Linked DNA regions of Nothobranchius furzeri. The protein of the gene in region 1 interacts with the protein of each later gene in a pairwise test. Links are inferred from orthologs where the notes say so. Each region holds a gene or a part of one and is shown on either strand. Other genes may lie near its edges.

What was found. The genes of interacting proteins can lie anywhere in the genome.
Region 2: the proteins of plaa (region 1) and ubxn1 interact in binary tests that used the Homo sapiens proteins (3 or more experiments, as listed by UniProt). The two-hybrid records come from large-scale screens. The link is inferred for Nothobranchius furzeri from reciprocal best matches to the Homo sapiens genes PLAA and UBXN1.

Annotation. Positions count from the first base shown.
Region 1 is NC_091742.1:72,989,729-72,993,241, forward strand, and holds part of plaa (phospholipase A-2-activating protein), read left to right. Parts: intron 1-56; coding exon 57-208; intron 209-286; coding exon 287-506; intron 507-3,513. UniProt on the Homo sapiens protein: Plays a role in protein ubiquitination, sorting and degradation through its association with VCP. Involved in ubiquitin-mediated membrane proteins trafficking to late endosomes in an ESCRT-dependent manner, and hence plays a role in synaptic vesicle recycling.
Region 2 is NC_091741.1:88,740,689-88,744,903, forward strand, and holds the start of ubxn1 (UBX domain-containing protein 1), read right to left. Parts: upstream 2,804-4,215; 5' UTR 2,695-2,803; coding exon 2,692-2,694; intron 2,516-2,691; coding exon 2,451-2,515; intron 2,348-2,450; coding exon 2,294-2,347; intron 1,943-2,293; coding exon 1,827-1,942; intron 1,634-1,826; coding exon 1,537-1,633; intron 1,437-1,536; coding exon 1,245-1,436; intron 1,074-1,244; coding exon 1,022-1,073; intron 936-1,021; coding exon 813-935; intron 714-812; coding exon 530-713; intron 467-529; coding exon 426-466; 3' UTR 1-425.

The DNA of each region.
Region 1 (3,513 bases):
CAGAGTCCGGGGACCACAGCAGCAAGTGGTTGGTTTTATTGCCTGTTTTCATCCAGGGAATCGCGACGGGCAGACACGTCTGATCAAAGATGGTCAGAAGGTGGAGGCGTATCAATGGAGCGTCAGCGACGATCGCTGGATGAAAATCGGAGATGTAGTCGGAGGCTCAAACCAGCAGACCTCCAAGAGCGTGATGTACGAAGGAAAGGTGAGGCGACAAGCTCAGAGCTAATAAACAGAGCAGTGTGAGAGGGCTTTCGCTAATGGGTGTTCCATCTGCTCTAAGGAATACGATTACGTCTTCTCTATCGATGTGAACGAAGGGGGGCCGTCTTTGAAGCTACCTTACAATGTGTCTGACGACCCCTGGCTGACAGCGCACAACTTCCTACAGAAGAACGATCTGAGCCCCATGTTTCTTGACCAAGTTGCTAATTTTATCATCGAGAACACTAAAGGACACGTGGTGGGTCCAGCCCAGCCTGGTGGCGGCGACCCCTTCACAGGTGAGGGGACTCGTCCTGTTGACTGATAAACAGGTTTATTATTTTTATTACAGAATTTGATCGTCCTGTCTGGTTTGAATCGTACCCAACAGGATGATCATTCAATATATCTTGGCTCGGACAATCTTCTGCTGTTCACTGTCTTGCCACAGGAGTGCCCCAGGGCTCTGTAATGGGACCTCTACTCTTTGCCATGTACACCACCTCACTGGGTGAGATCATTCGATCACATGGCTTCTCCTACCACTGCTATGCCGACGACACCCAGCTCTATCTGTCATTCCCGCCAGATGACCGCACAGTTTCTGCACAAATCTCAGACTGTCTTTCTGACATATCAAGATGGAGGAAATCCCACCATCTCCATCTCAACTTCTCAAAAACTGAATTACTTGTCATCCCAGCGAAACCATCCATACATCACAATATCTCAATCAAAAATGATTCCCTATCTCTGGCCCCTTCAAAGGCTGTTCGAAACTTGGGTGTTGTGATTGATGACCAGCTGACCTTTAAAGATCACGTTGCCTCTGTCGCTTGTTCATGCCGCTTCACGCTGTATACATAGGCGTCATTTTAAAAAATTTGTGATTGGCAGCTGTGTCCCCCCCCACTTTAAAAAAAGCCTGCTGATGAGGATTTTTGTTTTACCAGCTCAGATCTTTTACCAGGGGTCGGCAACCTGTTCCCATCAAAGAGCCATTATTACCCGTTTCCCACAGTAAAGAAAACACCGCAGCAGCCGCAGCGTTGTGGGCGGGGCCTACCCTCAGACAGCAGAGAGCTGCCCACAACCAGGTGACAGCAGCCAGTACCGTCGCTCGCATGGGCGTCGCACCCGTGGGGGATTCAACACCCACACTTTTCCTTCTGTTTTGCTCACCTCCACTCCAGTCTGGTTTCTTTATGTCGCACTCACTCTGTTTGCCTCATCTCCTTAATCACCTCCACTTCTGACAGCCGATGTCGGGTTTCCAGGAGAGCAGGAGATGGAGGGACGGAAGAGCTCGACTGAATTCATAATTTTACATCTTGACATTAGCTGTACAAAGTCTGAGTTTGAGAAAGTTAAGAACAACAATTTGCAGAGGTTTATAACTGGCGCGGCGCCAGGTTTTCATTTTTGGGTGGGCCACGGTAATTCTGGACGGACCTTAATAAGCAGTGACTTATGTGAAGCAGGCAGGACGCGCTAGAAAATTTCGTTTAAAAAGACGTCAAATGTGTTCCCCCGTCATTTTTATTTCTAAAATATGAAGTAAAAACTCCCAGTTTAATTTTCATTCATTTGACATTAATATGTAGTCTACACCCGTGCGTTAAGTGGACCATCTTCCAGTGAAATCAAAGCTTCCAGCCCACCTCTCCAAATGCGTAAAATGTGCATCAGCCGCTAGTTAGGCGCGTCACGCGCACCATCAGCGACGTCAGCCCAGACAAGAGCAGAGCAAATAGAGAAAGAATAGAGGATAATTGTGTCTGGATGTGGATGGAGATTACATTTTACAGCAGCCTGATCATCATTTAAATACGTAAACCATCACCTATCTTCTAGTCCACGCTATCAGCATTATTTTAATTGGTGTGTGTGTGTGTGTGTGTTTTCCACTTCAAACACTGGTCTAACCAACCAGACCAGCGTGTCCAGTAACACATTAATGTTACACTTCATGTAGGCTAGGAACATTTCACCTGCCGTGGCCCGACCGCTTCTGCTCCACATAAACTTTGTGCGTGATCAAATGTCTCTACAGGAGCTTTCTGAGCTGAAGAGCTATTCTGCCTCAGACTGGATGCGTCATGCATCTCCATATTAGAGACGGGAACAAGCGCTGTTCAGCCAAAGTTTCATCATTTCATAAAAAGAACATTTTTCCAAGTGACACATCCCTCAGAGAGACCGGGTTTCCAGACCGCTTCAGTGGGAGGAAATCTTATCGCATGCGCGTGGTTCTGTACTGCGCTGCGAACCCCTCAGATTTCAGCCCACTGTCCTCCGTGGGCACTCCGAGCCGCGCTGAACACAGTGTCCAGTATAAAGCTCTGATGTTCTGATGGGAATCAAGTTACCTCTGCGATGTGCGCAACGATTAAAATGTCAGCTCATCCATGCGCATCAGTGTGCGTTGGGGTAATTCTTTCAAAACAACCAACATCCTTGAGTTTATCCGTCAATATGTGGCAAGGTGGAGAAATGAGGGCCCGGGCGGGATTCGATCCCCAGACTCCCGGGTGACAGTCATACGCTCTAACCAGTCAGCCAAAGGGACAACCCCTTGGCCAAGTAGCCAGGGCGCATTATCTATCGGGACATTGTGACAGGACACACACTGCCACACCTGATTATGAAACTTTGGCTGAATAGTGCTTGTTCCTGTCTCCAATGTGGCGACGCATCCAGGAACCTGTCTGAGGAGAATCCCAGAATCTGACATCCTCAAGCTCAGGAAGCGCCTATGATTATGCACAAGCGTGAGGCGTCAACCTGGTCTCACAGTAAGACCGGGTTGGACCTGTTCAGGTTTACGCAGACAATCTTTATATTTAGAATTGGCATACAGATGTAAAATTAATCCAGTAAAATATAAAGCTTTTCATTTAAATATCCATTCATTATTTTACAAGCACAGAGAGCCGCATCAGATGGATGGAAGAGCCGCATGCGGCTCCAGAGCCGCCGACCCCTGTGCTAGCCTACTTTATTGTCCCCAGCAATTTTTAAACCCCACTCAAGTGTATGGTTATTGTCCCCAGCAATCCTGAAAACAAACTTGACGCCCTTGGCTGTATAACATACGAAAGATCAGATCGTACCTTACACAGTATGCTACCCAGGCCCTGGTGCAATCTACTGTCATCTCCCGCCTCGACTACTGCAATGCCCTTCTAACTGATCTTCCAGTCTGTACTGTGAGACCTCTTCAAATGGTCCAGAATGCAGCAGCGTGTCTGGTCTTCAATCAGCCAAAAAGAGCATTCGTCACCCCTCTGTTCATTGAGTTCCTTT
Region 2 (4,215 bases), on another chromosome or scaffold:
CTGAACGTCTTTTTAAAAAAATTGAAAAATAGAATGTCACAAAATTAGGAAGATCATGGCAATTAAACTTAAGGCCCTTTATAAGAACTTTGAGATGATGTCATTAAGAATCTGGTAAAAACAAACAACCTAGATCCGTACTTTACCCTAAACGTTTAGAATAAGTGTCAGCCAGAACCCAGCTTTCTTCTCTCTGATCTGTTAAGATCCAACTCGATATGTGAGTCAAACTGCAGCGGGAGACTGAATCCAGTCACTCGTGTCTGAATGCAGCCTCACAGCATCTGTGCTTTAGCTCACTTCGATGGCTCCTTGTGTAACACTATGGGATGGCAGCTCTGGTTCTGGTTCAGTTGGTTTCCGGTGTCTGGACATGACGTAGTGGAAGTGGTGAGGTAGGCTCACAGAGCAGATCCTCTCGTTTCTTACTTTTTGGTAACAACCAGCACGGCTGAAGGCACCAAACCTGAGACAAAAAAAGGGTAAGATGAACAGACTTGTTCTGGACTTAGACTAGTCTCCCACTCACCCAGCTCTTTGAGGGGCTTCTCCATGTCCATTTCAGTGTAGATGTGGCGGGGGTAGGGTGACAGCAGCGTGAAGTCCTGACCCTCGGGTGTGTTGCCGTTCATCTGTACGTAGACCCGCACCGCCGCCAGTGGCTCCTGAGCCTTAAACACGGCTGTGATTGTGGAGCCGTCCAGCAGGCGAACCTGAGAATGGATCAGAACATTTAGGAAGTGTGGAGGAAAAGTGGCCAGTGGATCAGAGAAACTCAAGAGAATAAATCAAGCTGTCAGTTTTTTCCTCACCTGTATCCTTGATTCATCATACTCCTTCTTAGTGGGAGGAGGGCCCTGACTGGTGGGCGATGATGGGCTGGGTGGGGTGGGCTGTGTTGAAGCAGCCGTGCTTGAAGATGCACCACCTCCAAACTAAACCATTGGAAATAAAAACGTGACCAGGATTAAAGCCATCAGTAAGAAATTAAAGACATGAACAGGATTTCAGGCTAAGGTACCTTCTGTGCACGCTCCTCTCTGTCTCTCGCTATTTTCTCTTTAACTCTTTGCCTGACAAACATAAAGATGAACAGGGTTCAAAACAGAAACCAATTTCCTCAAGTTTCAAGAAAAATATCAATATAGCTTTTGTAAAAAACAAACAAACAAAAAAAAAAACAATTACTTAAAAGCACCAAACTAAACTTTCTTCATCGATTATCTGCATTACTGAACCCTTACCTAGCAAGTTTGTCTTCCATCTTCTCTCTCCTCCTCTGATCAGCAAGTTTTTTCATGTCGTCATCCTGCAGTTTTTGGCGGATCTGCTGCAGCTCTTGGCCCTGTTTCCGTCGCTGTTTCTCTTTCTCCACCTCCTCTGCTCGCTCACGTTCTCTCCTCTCTGCCTGTTTCACCCGCATCAGCTCCTCTAGCCTGAGAAGCAGAAACATGGGCATAAACAATGACTTCATGCTGCTTTTTGTGGATAAATAGACAAACTCATTACCATCAGTAGAAATGAATGCGCCCAGACCTTTTGACTTGTTCGCGTCTCTCCTCTTCTGTCATTGGTCGCTTTAAAGCCTCTATGTCCTCAGGGTCGAGGAATTCTTCACTTAAGTTTTCTGTTCCTATATTAGCAGGACATTGTTTCAGTTGAGTAATGACACAATGTTCACTTTCAGTCTAGAAAGGCTCCAATTTCATCACATTAATAGTTTATTTGTAAACGTATTTCTACTAGCTACTTAAATGTTGTCTGGTGTGCTTTGTTCACAATATTATGGCATCATTCATTCCCCAAACATCCCAACATGCCCTGACCTTCGATAGTTGGCTGCTCTATGCTGGACTGACTATCTGTTGTTCCTCCCAGAACATTCTCAGCAGGAGGCACATAGGGCTCATCGATATCTGGGTCATTCTCATGCTCCATCAACCTGGAGGAAGGAGGTCATAGAGATTGGGTCAGGGTGGAAAATGGTTTGTTCTAATGCACAATTTCTTCCTTCGGTGTTTTGCATTCAACGCTTAGAAATGTAACATTATGAGAACATTTTTGCAAAACAGTTCCTACTAAGAGCCTTTATTTGGCTTCAGAGCTCCTCAAAAGATGCATCTACAGGTGAGGAATCTGTCAGAACTGAGTATCACCTCACCTTGGCTGAATCAAGGTGGTATAAATGGAGTACCTCTTACCAATAATCACTAAAGTAAAATACATAAATGTTGCCACAGACAGCAAACTGACTGGATTACAGCACAGCTTTTAGTTTGTATGTCAGACGCACCAGTCCATAGCTTGTTCTATTCCCTGGTTTCCTGTATTGGCCACAGCTTTTTCTCTGAAAATGTGAGAAAAAAGACACACAAAAAAACCCAGTTTAACTTTAATTTCTTTGTAGCTCTGATTCAAAAACCCAAATGTCTATGATGAGTGTAACTCACGCTCTGTTTTTGTCAAAGCCCATCTCCAGCAGGCTCTCTAGAGTATTTAGTTCGGCCATTATTAGCTGAAACAACAAAGGTAAGTTCACAAATACAATTCATCCTGACACAGTAGTTCCAATTTACAGCTAAAGGCTAAGTGTGGAACTCGACAACCAAACTAGTTATGTGCTCGTTTAATGTCTTCAGCCCTGGTTAACATTAAATATGACATATTTCACTAGCTTTCAGGATAATTCACCATGACAACAAACACTGGCGTTTTCCAGAGAAGAAGCCTGTTTGTTCCTACTCATCAGATGCCTTGATGATGCTAGAAGCTAAAATTAGCATCAATGCTGCTAACGAACTAGCCTAGGCTCCGATTAAAACGCTCTCACATGCTTTCCGTGCCTTAGACCACTGATCATGTCTGTATCTTACATGTAAGGACACAAAACATGAATTATCAATGCTTTAAAGACTATATTTGTCAATGTTAACACACATGAAGGCGGTGCTAGTCGAATAGATACTCACACATCAGTTTACGCCACTTCCACTGTACGGAAAGCCAAACATGTCAAAAATAGATATGAACAAAAAAGCGATTTTTTTTAAACTCTGAAAATGATTTATGAGCTACAATTTACTAAACACACACACACACACACACACACACACACATGTATATATAAAAATATATTATATTTATGTATATATATGTGTATATATGTATGTATATATATATATATATATATATATATATATATATATATATATATATATATGTGTGTGTGTGTGTGTGTGTGTATGTGTATATGTATGTATATATATATATATATATGTGTATATGTATATATATATATATATATATATATATATATATATATATATATATATATATATATATATATATATATATATATATATATACAAATAAAAGGAACGTAGACAACCAACAGAGGACAGCTGTTGTGGTTGATGTGGCAATACCAAGTGATGGCAACATCAGGCAAAAGGAACACGAGAAACTAGAGAAGTACCAGGGCCTCAAAGAAGAGCTTGATAAAGCCTGGTGAGTGAAGATATGGTGCCCGTGGTCATCGGGGCACTCGAGAAGTAACCCCCAAACTGGAGGAGTGGCTAAAGCAGATCCCAGGAAAAATATCAGACATCTCAGTCCAGAAAAGTGCAGTTCTAGGAACAACTAAGATATATCTCTCTCTGGTATCGAGGACTCGAGCTTGGAAAGATGGCACCACCCATGGGTCAGATGGGAATTGTTTTTATTTTATGCATATATATGACTTCAATGCAGTTGTGTCTTCACTGTGCTTGTATGATTTTAATGTCACTATCATGTGTTTATGGTGTTCAAACAGAAAATAATTTGCTGACTTTTATGTGCAGCTTCTGTTACATATTTACAGTTAGTGTAATGATTAATTTTTCTCTCCCCCACACCGTCTTAAGCAGTCCTCCATCATGAATCTGCCATTACTCAGACTCAGATCTCTCTCAGTAAGCCTCTGACTGTCCCCTAACTTTTCTTGAGCTTTTTCTTGTTTGCCTATTTTATGATCTTTATTGCTTTTCATGTTTAATCTCTATAGATTTTTTATTTTTCATTTTGAAGCATGAATTTTTAAAATTTACTGGTGAGTATAATCTTTATTCACACATTGTAAAAATATCAGCAATAAAACTTTTTTGTATAATTTCACTTAAACTGTTAACTATCTGATTACCATTTTAGTTTAGATTAATACAGAATTTTCTTCTT